3 linked regions of the Schizosaccharomyces pombe genome follow. The gene in region 2 interacts genetically with the main gene of each other region. Each region holds a gene or a part of one and is shown on either strand. Other genes may lie near its edges.

Region 1 (4,193 bases), on a different chromosome or scaffold from region 2:
CTACACGGTTTAACTGCCAGTTGCCACGAAGACTACTCTTCGAACAGACGTGGCAGATCGAGGGATCGAAAGCGAGACTCGAACCCGAGACCACCGAACATGCACTATTGGGAGTACTAAACACTTCGACCAAGCCATTACAGCGAATACATATATGTATTAATAAATTATATAGAAAATAAATAAGTTAATTCGCATAAACAAAAGTTTCAACTTTTCATTGCAAACCCTTTAAAGCTTTTCATCGCGTGCACGCATATTATAAAAAAATATGATCTTATTTCTTTGTAAATAATAAAAATTCTCTCAGCTTTTATATAGTTGCGAAGAAGCATTTACTATTGCACAAATAGCCTTTCAAAATTCGAGTTGCCATGGTGTGAAAAACATGACCAACAGAGATTTTTGTATTAAGTTCATTGCTTATCCCTCTACCTTTCTTCAGAAATAACATTCACTCACATTCTGATAGTGCAAACAACCAACATTATAACTCAATGAATTAAACGAAATATAATAAGCTAAGCAACACGTAGTCAATTAAAAAAAATAAAAAAGTGCTATGAATGAAATCCTTTATTTTACAAACCTCTAAATGATGCTAAAGAAAAGCAATGACAAAAGTCAGAGCTACAGCCTCTCAAAGGTGAACACGTGGAGAACAAAATAAAACTACACTATTGCAGAAAACGACGGTATCACATCCAACTTACATTACAACATATCATAGGCAAACACTATAAGTACAAATATGACCTCGTGTGGTTTTATTTGCACATTAAACTCACTATTCCCTAGCTCGGCAGCAATTAAAGATTTTATTCATAGCAACAGGTCAGATGCTGCAAGTAGGAGTTGCATAGGAAATTGAAGGCGAAAGACTCTCTAGGAGTGAAAACATAAACCCCGTTAAACGAGATCCCACGAGTAGAAAGAAATGGGATTGACGAACAATTAACAAGAGATAAAAACAAGTATTGAAGTAGCTACACAATATACATTGCCAAGACAAATGCACTAGCTAAAAGCGAAACTTTTTGCATCTGGATGGCTTTAAATAGTTTTGACCAAGACGAAAAACATTTAGGAAAAGAAAACAAAACTTTTGAGTAGCAACGCAAAAATTGCTTTAAAACTATTGACTTTGAAACTGATCACTAAAAGAGGAGGGAAAATAAATCACACAAACTTAACGATACAATTACTCGTCCACAAGTCTACTGACGAAGAGGAAGAGGTATACGAAGAAAAATACAGCAAAACATGCCAGCTTGAAAAAGGATCGTTTTTGTCTAGAGGATACGTCTTTGAAGATGGTTGTAGAGTCGTGCATATGAGTGTTGGACATAATCATTTTGGCGTTCCAAGCCAACATGGGTACATTGAGAAGGAAGGTGATCCAAGCACCTGACAATAATAGAAGAAGGGCACTGAAAGCTTGAAAACCCATTTCTGGTAGTACATACCAGTTCAGTTTTCGAGACACTAAATAGGGAAAAAGATTAGTATATATACGAATCAGAGACATTTATCATTAATATATATCGTTAGAATGTGATTATTTTAACATACAATCAATGGGATTTATGAAATCGTCTTTCAAATCAGAGTACATCACTGTAAAGTACATCTGAAGCATGATATTTGCACATGTAAGCATAAGGCTGGTAAAATAAATCCAAGCAGACACCATTTTGGATGTTTAGACACTTATTTTGAGTTTTCAAACTTTTCTTTTCGATGGGTGTAATAAGATAACTTGTCACAACTCATTGATGGTAAAATGAGCGAACGAATCGTAACGACCACAAGTTCGAATCGCACTGTTGACATGAATCTTTACCAAATGGTAAGGGAACTCGAAAAATCTGGAAGTTTGGTTTTTATGTTTACTAATCAATTAGTACGTTAGTATATTTTTTATTTTTTATTTTAAAGAATGGGCTTCGATTGAATGATCGTAAAAAAAAGTGAATTCAAGAGTTCTATGCTAATATAAATCAAAGAGACGCATGCATGGACTATGAAACGTAAACACTTCAAGTAGAAGTAATCATTGTGTTATATTCTTTAGCTTTAAAACCGCTTTAGTTAATAAAATATATAGTCTGGGTTGAAAACATTTACAATTATTCACACTGTATAGAATTAAATAATTTTACGATAATTCGATCCTTAAATATCATCATCAACTTGTTCCTCTTAGTTGTAGAAACAATTCTTATGCGTTTTTTTCGTAAACAGTCGTCAAATATTAAACTATTTTTGTTTTGCAATAATTCAGCCAACATTCAATTGGCTTCTACAATGAACATTCATTCTTAAATTAAAATTTTCTAGAAGAATAGTATGAAGGTTTTTAGCTGTTAGGATACACAATTCAATTTGTTATATTGCTAGTGTACCACTTAGTGCACATCTCAATCATTTATAATGCTTCGTTCTTTCTCTATACTACACAAGTTACCATTGACTCGAGTGTTAATCAAATTGCAATTGTATATACGAAAAATATAAGCATAAAGGTGAGGCTCTGGAGAAACAAAAAGCTATTGTGACATTTTTTTGGAATACAAATAATTTTGAAAGTTTTTGGGAATTTCGCAAGGATTTCGAACCCTTATATAAGAATCGAATTACAGTCATTTAACTATTGATCATTTGGTACTTTTTTACTCTTTGGTTTTATTTAAATCTTTCAAAAGGATGACGGGCGCAACGTTAACTGTTCGAGTAATTCGCAACTTTGAATATCGGACACTGAAAAACGTCGTTTTCCACGACATAGATCTGGCCACTACGACTGTAGACCAGTTCAAAAAAATCATCGATGAACGCATACAAACGGATCCCTCATTGAAAATCTACCGTACTACCCATTTTGACACGTTGAAGATTTATGTGAAAGCCCAGCAGCACAAAACCCAAAACTTGGCTATTAATTTAGACCACGATGATTGGATTCTTAATGATGGAGCCAAAACATTGTCTCTTTGTGGAATTGAAAATGAAACTGAGTTGTCCTACTTTGAACTTGCTGCCTACAAGGCCTATCAAGCAAATCCTGTACAAAAATGGCTTTAGACATGCATAACTTTATTAAGAGTTCAATTGTTGGTGTTAGGAATAGGAGATGAGTTTACCTTTGTTATTTAAATTGAATATTTTTCAAACTACGCTAAAAAATTCCTGATGTCTTTATTAGTGCAACTATTTAAAATTACCTAGGTCGCTGTTGCAATTCATGTATTGACAATAGCAGAATGCATTGTAGTGAGCAAAAGTATGTAGAATAATAAATGATACAAAACAATACGCATTTTAAACCAAATGTTGTAAACATCGACTTTATGACTTGGTACCAATAGCACCAAGGACGTCCCTATCTACATATTTATATAAGAACAAAACATTTCTCATTCATCAAAACGCTACACCAATACTTAATAAAAAGTTATTTTAAAAACAAGCAAAAAAAGAGTTGCGCGGCCAGGTTTCGATCCTGGGACCTACGGGTTATGAGCCCGTCGGAGTTCCACTCTCCTACCGCGCACAAATACCGTCACCAGCAGGATTTGAACCTGCGCGGGCAAAGCCCATTAGATGACTAGAATACAGGATTCAAGTCTAACTCCTTAACCACTCGGACATAGTGACTTTAGCTGTACATTTATCATGAAATGTAATTTATATAGCCAAAATCAAAAATTTCTATGTAATTTTTGATAGGAAGTTTCCAATGCTCAAATGGTTGATTTCACAAAAGCATTGCTTTATGTTAAGAAAATATTGTTTTTGGTGTTAGAATATATTTTTTTTATTATCAAAGTAAACTCCTAAAACTACAAGCTTGTCTATTCAGCTTAATTTCCATAAGTAGCTAGTGTTCATCCTTCAATTCAATGACTTTGCATTTGAAAGGATAGTTAGTTTATGAGACCTTAGGGATTTTGTGATTAAGTAGTCCAATTATACTTCTAATGTTATAATCAATAAACAATTACAATGCATTCAGTTTTTTATATCCCACATTGAAAGTTGTCAGGTATGAGTTAAAGTGTGTGATTAAAAGATTTTTTTTAATTAATAATAAGATATAGTAAAATATTGAACCGAAATTGATTTTCAACATTTCGCTTCTAACTTGAAATCCATTTTGTGCAATCTTGAACTTGCTCGTTAAATAGCACTTG
Region 2 (8,635 bases):
GTATCTTGATGTTATTTAAAAATAACATGTTTGTGATTATTTGGTTACATTCGACTTACTCAAATTTTCGATTCTAAGCGCGGTGAGCTTTTTTTTTCTTTCAAATATAATATAAATTCCTGTTAATGTTTGAAGTTTCAGCATTTACTAATGCATTCAGATATTCTGACGTCCGCTAATCCTGTGTCTCAAGCTTCAGAAACTCCAGATCACAGCATCGAAAGTAATACAGGATCTACGCAATCGCCCACAAGCCATAGTCTACTTCTGAAGTTCTCTTTTTGTATTGTTTATTATTCTTATTTTGCAATTGTTGTGCTTGGTTGCGTGCTTCCTTTTGAGCACACACACACTTTCCTTATAGCTTTTTTGGTTATATTCGGTATAATCTCTGTGATATTGTTTAGCGGCTCAATTTGTAAGCAAATTGTGAGGATGTTATCAGTTCATTCACTAACTCTTCAGACTACTATGAAACTTGGACCAAGACTGTGAAGCACTTTTTGAAAAAAGTGATAAGCCCTTTCAAGAAGGAATACATTGTGTGTGCATTTTTAAAAACTTTTGTTTTCTATGGGCTTTTGAAAACGATTGAACATTTTTTAGTTCTTCTTTCTGGTGATAAATGGGGATGGAAATGCTCAACATTATCTAGCATTCTCACTCCTGTATCATGCATCTCTTTTTGCTTAAATGAATCAGGTTCGTTATTGTAATAATTTAGTTATATTAATAATACAGTACAACTCAGATCATGCAGCACTCATTTGTTCATAAATACCGTGGCATGGATTAAATGTATGTTCTATAAATAATGAGATATTTCTTGCAAAGAATTTTCTATTAACGATATTAAGCTCTTGGTGGCGGAAAAAATGCGTTTGAAAATAACTACAATCAATTGAATGAAACAAGTCCCGAAGACCTAGTTTAGTTTCATTATTGCTTGGTACTGTCAATAGTCGCGAAGCGCTTTTCTCAAAATCTCTTTTCACGAAATATTCAACGCAATGGAGTAACTTTGCAATCATAATGCTTTAATTTGGAAGTTTAAGTATGGTCGATCATTTGCCAACTTTTTGTACTGTATATTTTTATCTCGTTCTTTTGTTATCATTTAATTTGTTGACCAGTGTGTTACTTAAAAGCATTCTACAATGCTACTTGACATGTTTATATGGGATTTTGCATATCCATTATTGCAAGAATGCGTTGATGATGGTTACTATTCATGTCAACCCACGTTGATAAATTGCGATTCTTAGATTGACTATCAAATCAACTAGTGGAATTAGGAAACCTACTGCTCAGTCTGGTTGTATTCATAATTTCGTTTATATTTCTTTCATGATTATTTCTCAAAATTTAAACTCTTTTTTAATGAAACCAAATTCGTCAATGTCTACTTCTTTGTTAATTTGTTTTAGACCAATCTATGTTATTGTTTACTAAATAGCGAGCGACAAAAAAGCTCCTAGGTAATGTTATCTGATGCTAAGATAGTTAAGCTAAACCAGCATAATAGTAAAATACTCAATTGAAGTATAGCCCACTAATTGAACTGATGAATGTAGGCTCAACTGTGTTCTACTAAGTTTAGTATATGTTTATTTAAATTTTTTTCTCAGTTTGATCATTTCAGTTGATGAATATGAATTCTAGTTGGATAACCTCATTAATGGGAATTATATAATAATCAGTGATAGACAATTTTGCGTAATATAGAGATATAACGATATAAAAGTTTACAATGTTTTTACGCACTCATTACAGTTTTTACATTCGTTATACAATTGTTAAAATATAAACATAGAGATCACAATTTTAAGCACCGTAGTTTCAAGTAATTTGCTATCTTGGTTAAAAAATGCGCAACTGCACATTAGCGAATTCTATCTGTTTCTACGTCTGAATCCGCCTTTAATTGTGGCTTATGCCTCCACATGCTAAAACGCACTATTTGGCAATACGTGAAAGACAAATACTTCATTCTTAGTCATCTCATAAAAACTAACTCCTCGGAACCGAGGAGGGTAAACAAGCGCCGAGTGTGCATTTATATTGATTAGACAGGGATTTTTAGTTGTACTTTTCAAATCACTATACTCTTTTGCTTTTTCTTGAATTTTGTTTAGTCGCAGAAGACTGCGCTTGCTTATTAGAGTATTTAGCATTAAGAGGTATTAACTTAACTTCAATTCCCTATCAGGACGTGGAAGAAACGTTTTTACGCCTTTTGACAATTGTCAAAATTTGGGAAAACCCTACTGTGTTAATTGTATTGTAATTTGGTAAGTGTTGTGTGTGTGGATGGATTGAACAAGGAACGATGATGCGAATTGGCAAAATGGTAACATGGCAATATTATTATTGTCTCAGCTCTAATAGTCTGTCTTTACAAGTTGGATGAGAAGGAGAACGATTGAGATGCTGCTTGGCTTTTATGATTATAATGATTATTGTGATAGTTCATGGATGGGTAGGAATATTTTTTTCTTTGTTATTTTTAAGACACATATGCATCTGCAAGCATTCGAGTGAAATAATTTGTTGGCTGATTTTATCCTCACAAGGTTCAACGCTAAATTTTGTTGTACTGGATGCTATAGGCGTTGAAAGTTTCTTGCTTCAATGCTTTTTTTCACTGACCAGATTTTTCCAATTATTAAATAAAAATTTTAACTGGTACAATAATTACGACGATATTCGTTTTATCAATTCCATTCACGTTCTTCTCCCTTTTAGCCTTTTTTATCCATAATTGATGACTTGTTATTTGAACGACTTCTAACCCTTTTCTTAGTGTTACGATTTTAGTTTCCAATTATTTGGTTTAAATTATTTTTTTCATCTTCTACATCTCCGTTTGTTTAAACCTACCTATTTTTCTTAATTTCCATTTTCTACTCTCGATCCTCAAACTGGTTTTCTTAATTTGTTTTAATTTTATAGAATTTGCATAATCATGTCTTTGCATAGTAAAAAATCCACTTCTACGGTTAAGGATAACGAACATTCTTTGGACCTTTCTATCAAAAGCATACCTTCAAATGAAAAAAACTTTTCAACAGAGAAAAGCGAGAATGAGGCTTCTGAAAGCCACGTGGTAGATGTTGTCAAAGATCCTTTTGAACAGTATACTCCTGAAGAACAAGAAATCCTTTACAAACAAATTAATGACACACCTGCCAAACTTTCTGGATACCCTAGAATCCTTTCATACGCCGATAAATGGGATATTATGCTGCAATTGGCAGGCACCATTACTGGTATTGGTGCCGGCCTGGGTATGCCATTGATGTCCCTTGTATCCGGTCAGCTGGCTCAAGCTTTTACCGACCTTGCCTCTGGCAAAGGAGCGTCATCTTTCCAACACACTGTAGATCACTTTTGTCTTTATTTTATTTACATCGCAATTGGTGTCTTTGGCTGTTCATATATTTACACTGTAACCTTTATTATTGCAGGAGAGCGGATTGCCCGTCGTATTCGACAAGATTATTTGCATGCCATTCTTTCCCAAAATATCGGTTATTTCGATCGTCTAGGTGCCGGTGAAATTACCACTCGAATTACTACTGATACAAACTTTATTCAAGATGGTTTAGGTGAGAAGGTCGGATTGGTGTTCTTTGCAATAGCAACCTTTGTATCTGGTTTTGTTATCGCTTTTATTCGTCATTGGAAGTTCACATTGATATTGAGTTCAATGTTTCCAGCCATTTGTGGTGGTATCGGCTTGGGTGTTCCCTTTATTACCAAAAACACCAAAGGTCAAATCGCCGTCGTTGCCGAATCCAGTACATTTGTGGAAGAAGTGTTTTCCAATATCAGAAATGCTTTTGCTTTTGGTACCCAAGATATTCTTGCAAAATTGTACAATAAGTACTTAATAACTGCACAACGCTTCGGTATCAATAAGGCAATTGCAATGGGTTTAATGGTTGGATGGATGTTCTTTGTTGCGTATGGTGTTTACGGTCTTGCATTTTGGGAAGGTGGACGCCTCCTACATGCAGGTGATTTAGATGTTAGCAAATTAATTGGCTGCTTTTTCGCCGTCCTTATTGCTTCCTATAGTTTGGCCAACATTTCTCCTAAGATGCAGTCATTTGTTAGTTGTGCCTCAGCCGCTAAAAAGATTTTCGACACAATTGATCGTGTTAGTCCAATTAATGCTTTTACACCTACTGGTGATGTAGTCAAAGATATTAAAGGGGAGATCGAATTGAAAAATATTCGATTTGTTTATCCTACTCGTCCTGAAGTTTTAGTGCTGGATAACTTTTCTTTGGTATGCCCTTCTGGTAAAATTACTGCTTTAGTAGGTGCCAGTGGTAGCGGCAAATCCACGATCATTGGACTTGTTGAGCGATTTTACGACCCCATTGGTGGGCAGGTTTTCTTAGATGGTAAAGACCTTAGAACGCTGAACGTTGCTTCGCTGAGAAATCAAATATCTTTGGTACAACAAGAACCGGTTCTGTTTGCTACAACTGTGTTTGAAAATATAACTTATGGCCTGCCTGATACAATTAAAGGTACCTTGTCTAAGGAAGAATTGGAAAGAAGAGTTTATGATGCCGCTAAGCTTGCCAACGCTTACGACTTTATTATGACATTACCCGAGCAATTTTCAACTAATGTTGGACAACGCGGTTTCCTTATGTCAGGAGGACAAAAACAAAGAATTGCAATCGCTAGGGCCGTTATTAGTGATCCCAAGATCTTATTGTTGGACGAAGCCACAAGTGCTTTAGACTCTAAGAGTGAAGTGCTTGTTCAGAAAGCTCTAGATAATGCATCGAGATCTCGTACCACTATCGTTATTGCTCATCGTCTTTCTACAATTCGTAACGCTGATAATATTGTCGTAGTGAATGCAGGAAAAATTGTTGAACAGGGCTCCCACAATGAATTGTTAGATCTGAATGGTGCTTATGCTAGACTAGTAGAAGCTCAAAAGCTATCAGGTGGAGAAAAAGACCAGGAAATGGTCGAGGAAGAACTGGAGGATGCTCCGAGGGAAATACCCATAACGTCTTTTGGTGACGATGATGAAGATAATGATATGGCTAGCCTCGAGGCCCCTATGATGTCCCATAATACGGATACTGATACGTTGAATAATAAACTCAACGAGAAAGATAATGTCGTGTTTGAAGACAAAACCCTTCAGCATGTAGCTTCCGAAATTGTTCCAAACCTACCTCCTGCAGATGTCGGTGAACTTAATGAGGAGCCTAAAAAGTCCAAAAAGTCAAAGAAAAACAACCATGAGATTAATTCGTTAACAGCGTTATGGTTCATTCATTCTTTTGTACGGACAATGATAGAGATTATTTGTCTATTAATTGGTATTTTGGCTTCTATGATTTGTGGTGCAGCTTACCCTGTTCAGGCAGCTGTTTTTGCAAGATTTCTCAATATCTTCACTGATCTCTCATCCACAGACTTTTTACACAAAGTAAACGTGTTTGCTGTTTATTGGCTTATTCTAGCTATTGTTCAATTCTTCGCTTATGCAATTTCCAATTTTGCAATGACTTATGCAATGGAAGCAGTTTTGCAAAGAATTCGTTATCATCTATTTCGAACATTGCTTCGTCAAGATGTTGAGTTTTTCGACCGTAGTGAGAACACAGTTGGTGCTATTACTACTTCTTTATCAACGAAAATTCAGTCTTTGGAGGGATTGAGCGGCCCGACTTTAGGAACCTTTTTCCAAATTTTGACCAATATCATTTCAGTTACGATTTTATCTTTGGCTACAGGATGGAAGTTGGGTTTGGTGACCCTTTCGACCTCCCCTGTTATCATTACTGCTGGTTATTACCGTGTACGTGCTCTTGATCAAGTCCAAGAGAAGTTGTCTGCTGCCTACAAAGAGTCAGCTGCGTTCGCATGCGAGTCAACTTCAGCCATTCGTACAGTCGCTAGTCTTAATCGCGAAGAAAACGTTTTTGCTGAGTATTGTGATTCTCTCATCAAACCTGGCCGTGAGTCGGCAATCGCATCATTGAAATCTGGTTTATTCTTTTCTGCTGCTCAAGGTGTTACCTTTTTGATTAACGCATTGACATTTTGGTATGGTTCTACCTTAATGCGCAAGGGCGAATATAACATCGTTCAGTTTTATACTTGTTTTATTGCAATTGTCTTTGGTATACAACAAGCTGGTCAATTCTTTGGTTACTCAGCAGATGTAACAAAAGCAAAGGCTGCTGCCGGTGAAATTAAGTATTTGTCCGAATCAAAACCTAAAATTGATACATGGTCGACGGAAGGAAAGAAAGTTGAATCCCTTCAAAGTGCAGCAATTGAATTCAGGCAAGTTGAATTTAGTTACCCTACCAGAAGGCATATTAAAGTTCTTCGTGGTTTGAACCTCACTGTGAAGCCCGGGCAGTTTGTCGCATTCGTAGGATCTTCTGGCTGTGGTAAATCTACGACCATTGGGCTTATCGAGCGTTTCTACGATTGCGACAATGGAGCTGTATTGGTGGACGGTGTTAATGTTCGTGACTATAACATTAACGACTACCGCAAACAAATTGCCCTTGTCTCTCAAGAGCCAACGTTGTACCAAGGTACTGTTCGTGAGAACATTGTTTTGGGCGCATCTAAAGATGTCTCTGAAGAAGAGATGATTGAAGCTTGCAAGAAGGCCAATATTCATGAGTTTATTCTTGGATTGCCCAACGGTTATAACACACTTTGCGGTCAAAAGGGCTCTTCCTTATCTGGTGGTCAAAAACAGCGTATTGCCATTGCTAGAGCATTAATTAGAAATCCAAAGATTCTCCTTTTAGATGAAGCAACCAGTGCTTTAGACAGTCATAGCGAAAAGGTCGTTCAAGAAGCTTTAAATGCCGCCTCTCAAGGTAGAACCACGGTAGCAATTGCTCATCGTTTGTCTTCTATCCAAGATGCAGACTGTATTTTCGTATTTGATGGTGGTGTTATCGCTGAAGCTGGTACTCATGCCGAGCTTGTTAAACAGCGCGGTCGTTACTATGAACTTGTGGTTGAACAGGGATTGAACAAAGCATAATTTATTTGAAAAGGGTGATACCCGACAAGAGCCCTTTTTTTGTCTTTCTGATCAGTAAAAGGGTTTCCATTGTTTAGATTAACTCCCTCATATATCGTTAAGTTATTTCCGAATTTCCTTTATTTAGGTCATGTATACTATTATGCGATGAAGCATGACCAATGCTATTAAATTACTTAATATTTCCTTATTTTGAAAATGGATGTTTGTCGTTTGTCTTCTAGATATGTCTTCATCCATAGTCAGGTTTGTGTTTTATTCCAAAAACTTGTCAATTTCAAGGATTGAATAACAAGGTTACTTTTTAGGCATTATGGCCTTACTAGCAATGTAAGGAATTTTAATGTCTGTGCTATTTAATGTTGTTTGGTCAACTGATTAATTTAATTTGCTAACGTGCAAATAATTGTCTATTTTATCGTAATCGGTACGATGGCATTTTACTCTTACCATTAACTTTGATTCATAATGAATAATGGATTCGTTTTTTGTTTTTTTATTGACCCTCATAAGTACGGATTTCGTAGTTTTTCAAATTGTAAATAGTAGTAACAAAATAGAAGTTTTTTGACTTGGGAACTTCTTTGTACCTCAATGCTTAAAATATGAGCTTCTAGCCCAAATGTAAAATTAATAGCAAGTTTACTTTGATATGATTGAACCAAATATTACTTACTAACACTACTTTCTTGAATGCGTCTGCCTTTTTCTAACAACAAGCTTTTGGACTAACTGAAATATATTTAATTATTTCTTCAGTATCTCAATTCTAGTTTAAATAACGCTCTGACGGCATATTTCACAAAACAGTTTTAACGGTTACTAGCAATATGTACCATAGTATGTTGAAATTATTCCTTAAATCCTACAAAAACCTTCAAAAGACAGTCACAGTTGTGAAAAAAGAGCAGTCACATTCGCTTTAGTTGCGTGGATGCAACACTCTGTCTTCCACAAAATGCCTTCTCACAAGAGTTTCCGTACCAAGCAAAAGCTTGCCAAGGCTGCGCGTCAAAACCGCCCCATTCCTCAATGGATTCGTCTTCGCACCGGAAACACTGTTCATTATAACATGAAGAGAAGACACTGGAGACGTACCAAGTTGAACATCTAAAATGGTATGTCGACAAAATCAACCGACGCCTTTGCTTGTGGAGTAACTGTTTTCTAACTGAGATAGCGTTCGTGTACATGAAGTTATGGATTGCTTTATGCGTATCCTACGTTTTACGTGTGCAAAAATAGAAAATGGATCCATTCTGTTTGAGCGAAAAATTTCTATATAAACGCAATGTATCTGTTGTCTTCAATAACTATGTAAACAGTTCCATGCAAGTCGTAAGGATTGTCGTGTAATATAGTAGAGTTGAATGATCTGTAAATAAAACGATTTTAAGTGTACTTTAATTTTCTAGTAGTTGGTGGCGGCGCGGCCTGACCTGGTAGGAAAAACTTTTGACTTGTAATTGTCGGGATAGATGAGTTTTTGTTTTTATTTAAAGAGCTTGAAAAATTTATACTCATTTCAATTTCGACAAAGTTTGTAAGTTATTTTATTAAAATACTTTGTAACAAATAAAA
Region 3 (8,631 bases), 920 kb from region 2:
ACTTCGTAATCACTTTCCTGACAAGCAACAAGTTATTTCCAAGCCTGAAAAAGCGTCTATCAATCCTGGATTCATGGTATTGGATGGTTCTTACTCAAGGTCGATTGGATTGAAGTATCGCTCCGATGAGGAATGCTTTGTTGACACTGCTAAAAAGTTGTGGGAACGTGCTGAGGAGTTTCAAAAAAGTTAGAAAAAAAAATAAGAAAATGATTTCATGTGGCTCAGAGAGTCAATTGCTGAGGGTCGTCGAATTGGTAAACGTGATTATTACGAGGTATGAGTTAAACACAAATGTCAATAGAAAAATGAACGAGTAGAAGTTGGTTGGAAGAGAATTTAAATAAAAAAAAAAAAAAAAAAAAATTGGATGAGAAGAAATTTTAGTTACTAGCACATACACATGAATTCAAAATACGAGAAAGACACTAAATGGAATAAACGCTGGCGAGTTTATAGAATGTATCAAAATGTTTAGTAGCACACTATTTAGCGCAACAACAAAAAGATCGACACTTTTGTAATTGTGAAATACTGCAATGTGTCGCTGCATCGCTATGCCCGCATTCACGCTAGACGAGATAGTGGAAGTGGAAAATAGCGTTCACGAGCGAAGTGTATGCTACGAGGTGAATGGGTGTTTTTTTATTCCAAATTACGCTAGTTATCGCATTTTGTTTAATAAAATATTAATAAAATACAAAGCAGTGCGAAATGACACGTTAAAATGCTTAAGTGGATGAAAAAAGAATTTAATTTGCCTTAAGTATTTACATATTTACCTATAGAGAGAGGTAAAGAGATGAGCCATATTGCATTCACGTATTTCGTGCCATAGTATTTGTAGCCGATTTGGTAGGATTGCTTCATCAACATGTTGGACCATGTTATTAACACATGATAGGCAAGTTTACGATGGTCTTCGCACTATGATGTCCAACTTTTCGCAGCATCGAAACGGACAATTTTTTAGTACTTTGAGAGCGATGCGATCGAGCTGCTCTCAAAGTGTCAAATTTGCCCAGTAATTTCGACATGCGCTCAGTAATAGAAACTTCTCGTACTGGGCACACTAGCTAGAAACATGGCGCCCACACACAGTCGGACAAACGATGAAGACGCAGTACAAAGTAGGCAAAACAAAAACGGGAGACAGTGGGAATGTAATCGGTCAAGAGAATATTTCGCTCTCTACAATTTCTAGCTACTCAATCTTCTACTTACTAACAACTGATCCAATGTGCAGCAGTATTTATGCTAGAAAGGAGAAAAAGTCAAAACCAACTTTAAAGTCAGTTTGGCTATTTACCTTTTCAAGTCTTTATGGGAATAAAACAGTAGCGCAGCGTAATATTACATAGCGCACTCGATCGTTACAATGCAATTCATCTTGCAAAGTGCAGAGAGAGTGCATGAACATATTCTATACTGGACATCCATTCCAATTTAATCAGATAAATTAAAAAAAAAACAATTGCTCACAAATTCTTCAGTAATCATCTCTATTCGTAATCCTTATCCTTTATCCTTGCAAATTTGAGTATATCTACTCTCCTTCGTAATCTTCCCGATCGCACTCCTTTATTCCTCATTATTCCATTCAACACATTCTCTTTTCCTCGTTATTCTTTGCGCTTACTCATTTCTTACTAATCAGATCTGCAAGAGCTGCATTTGATGCCAAATGTGCGACACTTCTCAAACGCGAGGTGCTCGGACATCGGGCATCGGAATTTAGAAATTAGCCTCTTGCGTATCGCTGTATCGTGATAACAGCAAATGCTGTAGTTGACCGCGCAGCGGTAATTTCGGAACTTGGACGATCCCGACTATGTTTGAGTGCTTCGCTGCTAGGAAACGCTACTAAAGAGGTTTACGAAAACGCTATTTGTCGTTAAATTTACATTACTGAGAGAGTGAGAGAGCAAGTGTCTATAGCTAAAAGTAGCGCAGGAGAGGAAACGTTGAACGCGTAGTTAAATGGAAAAAAGGTAGGATTTGTCAGGTTTTAAACCAATATTCAAATTCATCAAGTCATTTGAATAAAAAATAGACCAAGAAGTAGGAAGTTTGAATGAAAATAGAGAAACTTTTCACTCACTTTTGTATTTCCCTTTGACATGTAAACAAAAGAAAGATAAAGATGAGCGCTCGTACCAGATGGACGATTCGGGTCTTTGTTGGTTTGCAAAACAATCTCTGAAATTATGAACAAACAAAAGAACTTTGTAAAATAATAAAAACTATGCTAAAGTCGGGGGAAATTTCGAGAAAATTTGGGCTTTTTCTGAGGTTAAACACTTTATAAAAGGGATTTTGGACTCTTTTCTCAATCTTTTTGATTCAAGAGAATCTCGCTTTTAATTCATTGAAATTTTTTTTGTTCTTTCTCTCATATTACACTCATTTTTATCGGTTTTTCATCTCATTTCGTCTCTAAACCCTCTCTTTCTTGTTGCGTCTCTTATTATCGAGTTGTCTTAGTCATACTATTATACAAGGCAAATTTATCGCTTGCTTGCTCCTCGGTGTTTAGTCGATCGCTTTTCTATGACATCACTCCGGAGAGTCAAAGCGCCGAACGAAATTGTTTACTAAAGCGAGTCAGCGGCCACCATTTTTTTCACATCATCTTCCTAGCGTTTGGCAGTTCATATTAAAGAACGAAGAAATTGCTCCCTACTTTCTCGATAACCAACTTGCTTTCTGGTTTATCCTTTGAAGCGCAACGAAACGTCGTTTTTATTGAGTTCGTAGAGACCGTTATCTCGATTTAGTTCCTTTTTGTTTGGTTTTCAAGCTTTTGTTGGAGTTCAGGAAGCTTTAGCTTTCTTACCTTTTCTCCCGTTTCCCTTGCATTTCCATTTCCCTCTTCCTACCTGTCTTCTAGATACATTTCTTTCCTCTTGCGGAAACTTATTGGATTCTCTTTCTTCTTTTGAAACGTGGCCTGCAAAAAGCCATTGTTTTTCAGGAAATTTTGCTTTTCTTATCTTTGAAACTAGTTCCTCTTCTAAAAAATTGGCGTTGCTTCTTTCTTCTTCCTATTTGCCCCTTCTCTTCCCTTCTTGTCATAAGCATACCTGTGGTGCTAGGTTTTCATCCCTGCTCCTATTATAAAACTTTCATTTACTCGTATTATTGACCAGTCGTCTTTCACTTTTTCAGTAGGAGTCTGAATCAACACGAATTGGCGATTCGTATTACGAGCAATCTCACAGGCAGACAAGAACGAAATTTTTTTTCCCCTATTGCGTTTGGGAAAATTCACTCTAATAAAAAAGAAGCCTTCTTTCTATATATTATAAAATATATATAGATAGATAAATATTTTTTATACATACAACCGTATACATATCTATTTATCTATATTTGTTATAGTATCTATTTGAACTTTCCAAAGGAGATCCTTCATTTTTTTATCTTCTTCCTTTAGTAATCTTACTGCTTTTTAAGCCAAGCTTAAAAAGTACTGTTCGATTCCCCATTCGTTCCTCTCCTAATTTTAAATTATTTTCTTCACCCACTTGTTAAACAATAAAACTTTTCTCTTCAGTGTACAGTGAGCTCGGTTGCTTACTTCATCATCACTCACTAATTTTGTTTGAAAGTCTTTCTGGTTGCGATTCGCTTTCGCTTTTTTTTTAAACTTGTTGTTGGTCGTTTTCCCTAGCGTTTTCGTTCAATTCACGTACTTTCGTTTGCGTTTTTCTTATTATTTTCACAACTTGAAGTTTACTGTCTTGTGAAATAGCGTTCTAATTCTTCTTACGTTTTGGTAATTTTGTCGTTTATTTTATTAAACTTTTCATTTCTCGTTTTTTTTAAATCGTTGGACGTCGATCTGCTTTTTTTTTTCAGCTCGATTTATAGAGTTCAACTTGTTTCAATTGTATCGTGGTGTTTTCAAAATTTTTTCTTTTGAATCGTTCAATTACTAATATAAAACATCATTTCCGGTTTTTTCTACTTTCTTTTTTCCTATCCTGTTCTATTTTGATTTGTTTCCCTTTTATATTCCTTTTTACATTACGAAATGAATCAAAATTCGGATACTACTCACGGTCAGGCCTTAGGCAGTACTTTAAATCATACCACCGAGGTTACGCGTATTTCTAATTCCTCTGATCATTTCGAGGATTCTTCTTCGAATGTTGACGAGTCTTTAGATTCTTCTAATCCTTCATCCAATGAGAAGGCATCACACACTAATGAGGAATACCGTTCAAAAGGTAATCAAAGTTACGTCCCATCTTCATCAAACGAACCCTCCCCAGAATCCTCATCGAATTCGGATTCTTCCTCATCTGATGATTCATCGGTCGACCGTTTGGCCGGTGATCCCTTTGAACTAGGGGAAAACTTCAACTTGAAGCATTATTTAAGAGCATACAAAGATTCTTTACAACGAGACGATATCATCACTCGTAGTAGTGGTGTCTGCATGCGCGACCATAGTGTTTATGGCGTTGGTTCTGGATATGAATTTTTGAAAACATTTCCTGATATTTTTTTACAACCTTATCGAGCTATCACTGAAAAACAAGTGGTGGAAAAAGCCATTTTAAGTCATTGTCATGCTCTTGCCAATGCTGGTGAACTGGTGATGGTTTTGGGACAACCAGGTTCTGGATGTTCCACTTTCTTGCGTTCAGTTACTAGCGATACTGTTCACTACAAGCGTGTCGAGGGAACCACTCATTATGACGGTATTGACAAGGCCGACATGAAAAAGTTTTTCCCCGGTGATCTTTTATACAGTGGTGAAAACGATGTCCATTTCCCATCTTTGACTACCGCTGAAACCCTTGATTTTGCGGCTAAATGCCGTACCCCAAACAACCGTCCTTGCAACCTCACCCGTCAAGAATATGTGAGTCGTGAGAGGCATTTAATTGCTACCGCATTTGGCTTGACACACACTTTCAATACCAAGGTAGGTAATGATTTCGTACGTGGTGTCTCTGGTGGTGAACGTAAGCGTGTAACTATTAGTGAAGGTTTTGCTACTCGTCCAACTATCGCTTGCTGGGATAATAGTACTCGTGGTTTGGACTCTAGTACGGCTTTCGAGTTCGTCAATGTCCTTCGCACTTGTGCCAATGAACTTAAAATGACATCCTTCGTTACTGCATACCAAGCTTCGGAAAAGATTTACAAACTTTTCGATCGAATTTGTGTACTTTATGCCGGTAGGCAAATTTATTATGGACCAGCTGACAAAGCCAAGCAATACTTCTTAGATATGGGGTTTGACTGTCATCCTCGTGAAACAACTCCTGACTTCCTCACTGCTATTTCTGACCCGAAGGCTAGGTTTCCTAGAAAGGGTTTCGAAAATCGCGTTCCCAGAACCCCTGATGAGTTTGAACAAATGTGGCGCAATAGTTCTGTATATGCTGACCTTATGGCCGAAATGGAAAGCTATGACAAACGGTGGACCGAGACTACTCCTGCTTCTTCTGAAGCCCCCGAAAAAGACAACTTTGGAAGCGATATCTCTGCCACTACCAAGCATGAGCTCTATCGTCAAAGTGCGGTAGCGGAAAAGAGTAAACGTGTTAAGGATACCTCTCCGTATACTGTGACTTTTAGTCAACAGTTGTGGTATTGTTTAGCTAGGTCATGGGAGAGATATATCAATGATCCTGCATATATTGGTTCAATGGCTTTTGCTTTCCTTTTCCAATCTCTTATTATCGGTTCTATTTTCTACGATATGAAATTAAACACCGTTGATGTATTCTCACGTGGTGGTGTTCTTTTCTTCTCTATTCTGTTTTGCGCACTTCAGAGTCTTTCTGAAATCGCTAATATGTTTTCCCAACGACCCATCATTGCTAAGCATAGAGCTTCTGCTTTGTACCATCCTGCTGCAGATGTTATTAGTAGCTTGATTGTCGATCTACCTTTCAGATTCATTAATATTTCGGTTTTCTCAATTGTGTTGTATTTTTTAACAAATTTAAAGAGGACTGCTGGCGGATTTTGGACTTACTTTTTGTTCCTTTTCATAGGTGCTACTTGTATGTCTGCCTTTTTTCGATCATTAGCTGGAATTATGCCCAATGTTGAATCTGCATCTGCTTTGGGTGGTATCGGTGTGCTTGCAATTGCCATTTACACTGGTTATGCTATTCCTAATATCGACGTTGGATGGTGGTTCCGCTGGATTGCTTATCTCGACCCGTTGCAATTTGGTTTTGAGTCTTTAATGATTAATGAATTCAAGGCACGACAGTTCGAATGCTCTCAATTGATTCCGTACGGTAGTGGATATGACAATTATCCTGTAGCTAACAAAATCTGTCCCGTCACCTCTGCAGAACCTGGAACAGATTACGTTGACGGCTCAACTTACTTGTATATTAGTTTCAACTACAAGACGCGTCAATTATGGAGAAATTTGGCTATTATTATTGGATATTATGCGTTCTTGGTATTTGTCAACATCGTCGCCAGTGAAACTCTTAATTTCAACGATTTGAAAGGTGAATATCTGGTCTTTCGCCGCGGCCATGCTCCTGACGCTGTAAAAGCAGCTGTCAATGAAGGTGGAAAACCGCTGGATTTAGAAACTGGTCAAGATACTCAAGGTGGTGACGTTGTTAAAGAGTCTCCGGACAACGAAGAAGAGCTTAACAAGGAATATGAAGGAATTGAAAAAGGCCATGACATTTTCAGCTGGAGAAATCTTAACTACGACATTCAAATAAAAGGTGAGCATCGCCGGTTACTTAATGGTGTGCAAGGCTTTGTTGTTCCAGGTAAATTGACGGCTTTGATGGGTGAATCCGGTGCTGGTAAAACCACTTTACTAAATGTACTTGCTCAACGTGTTGACACTGGTGTAGTAACTGGCGACATGTTGGTTAATGGTAGAGGATTGGATTCAACTTTCCAACGGCGCACTGGTTATGTACAACAGCAGGATGTCCACATTGGTGAATCTACGGTTAGAGAAGCGTTGCGTTTCAGTGCTGCTCTACGTCAACCTGCTTCCGTTCCTCTTTCGGAAAAGTACGAATATGTCGAATCAGTCATTAAACTTTTGGAAATGGAGAGCTATGCTGAAGCAATTATCGGTACTCCTGGCTCCGGATTGAACGTAGAACAACGTAAGCGTGCAACCATTGGTGTCGAGTTGGCTGCGAAGCCTGCTTTATTGTTGTTTTTAGACGAGCCAACTTCTGGTCTAGATAGTCAGTCTGCATGGTCCATTGTTTGTTTCTTGCGAAAATTAGCTGATGCTGGTCAAGCAATTCTTTGTACAATCCATCAACCCAGTGCCGTACTGTTTGATCAATTTGATAGATTGTTACTGCTACAGAAAGGTGGTAAAACAGTGTACTTTGGTGATATAGGAGAACATTCTAAGACTTTGTTAAATTACTTTGAATCTCATGGAGCAGTACATTGTCCTGACGACGGTAATCCAGCTGAATACATTTTAGATGTTATTGGTGCTGGTGCCACTGCCACTACTAATCGTGATTGGCATGAAGTTTGGAATAACTCAGAAGAACGTAAAGCCATTAGTGCAGAGCTAGACAAAATTAACGCTTCATTCTCAAACAGTGAGGATAAAAAGACTTTGTCAAAGGAAGATAGGAGCACTTACGCCATGCCTCTGTGGTTCCAAGTCAAAATGGTCATGACCAGAAATTTCCAGTCTTATTGGAGAGAGCCCTCTATATTGATGTCTAAATTAGCACTGGATATTTTCGCTGGTTTATTTATTGGATTTACATTTTATAATCAAGGTCTCGGTGTACAGAATATTCAGAACAAGCTTTTCGCTGTGTTTATGGCAACCGTTCTTGCAGTTCCTTTGATTAATGGTCTTCAACCAAAATTTATTGAGTTGCGTAACGTCTTTGAAGTTAGAGAAAAGCCTTCGAATATTTACAGTTGGGTTGCATTCGTATTTTCAGCCATTATAGTAGAAATTCCATTTAACCTGGTGTTTGGCACGCTTTTCTTCCTTTGTTGGTTTTATCCAATCAAGTTTTATAAGCATATTCATCATCCTGGTGACAAAACTGGTTACGCTTGGTTGCTTTATATGTTCTTCCAAATGTACTTCTCAACTTTTGGCCAAGCTGTCGCCAGTGCGTGCCCTAATGCTCAAACAGCGTCCGTTGTCAACAGTTTGTTATTCACATTCGTGATTACATTTAACGGTGTTCTGCAGCCTAATAGTAATTTGGTCGGATTTTGGCATTGGATGCATTCGTTGACTCCGTTTACCTATTTGATCGAAGGATTACTTTCTGATTTGGTGCATGGACTTCCAGTTGAATGCAAGTCTCATGAGATGCTTACTATCAACCCTCCTAGCGGTCAAACATGCGGTGAATATATGAGTGCTTTCTTAACTAATAACACAGCTGCTGGAAACCTCTTAAATCCTAATGCTACAACCTCATGCAGTTACTGTCCATATCAAACCGCTGACCAGTTTTTGGAGCGGTTTAGTATGCGTTATACTCATCGCTGGAGAAATTTGGGTATCTTTGTTGGTTATGTGTTCTTCAATATCTTTGCGGTGCTTTTGTTGTTTTACGTATTCCGAGTCATGAAGCTTAGAAGTACTTGGCTTGGTAAAAAGATTACCGGAACTGGTTAAAT

What was found.
Region 1: mutations in pmd1 (region 2) and cor1 impair growth when combined (synthetic growth defect), as found in Schizosaccharomyces pombe (one study listed by BioGRID).
Region 3: mutations in pmd1 (region 2) and bfr1 impair growth when combined (synthetic growth defect), as found in Schizosaccharomyces pombe (one study listed by BioGRID).

What each region holds. Positions count from the first base shown.
Region 1 is NC_003424.3:4,264,613-4,268,805, reverse strand, and holds cor1 (cornichon family protein), read right to left. Parts: upstream 1,752-4,193; 5' UTR 1,694-1,751; coding exon 1,573-1,693; intron 1,486-1,572; coding exon 1,202-1,485; 3' UTR 727-1,201; downstream 1-726. Other genes in the region: protein aim29, read left to right, coding at 2,707-3,084.
Region 2 is NC_003421.2:1,633,009-1,641,643, forward strand, and holds pmd1 (leptomycin transmembrane transporter Pmd1), read left to right. Parts: upstream 1-2,084; 5' UTR 2,085-2,291; exon of another isoform or gene 2,292-2,518; intron 2,519-2,703; exon of another isoform or gene 2,704-2,803; 5' UTR 2,804-2,965; coding exon 2,966-7,054; 3' UTR 7,055-7,563; downstream 7,564-8,635. Other genes in the region: wtf element Wtf15, read left to right, coding at 161-418, 466-702, 742-798, 858-934; rpl39 (60S ribosomal protein L39), read left to right, coding at 8,013-8,168.
Region 3 is NC_003421.2:709,413-718,043, reverse strand, and holds the start of bfr1 (plasma membrane brefeldin A efflux transporter Bfr1), read left to right. Parts: upstream 1-2,625; 5' UTR 2,626-4,036; coding exon 4,037-8,629; 3' UTR 8,630-8,631. UniProt on the Schizosaccharomyces pombe protein: Confers hyper-resistance to brefeldin A (BFA), an inhibitor of intracellular protein transport. Could serve as an efflux pump of various antibiotics.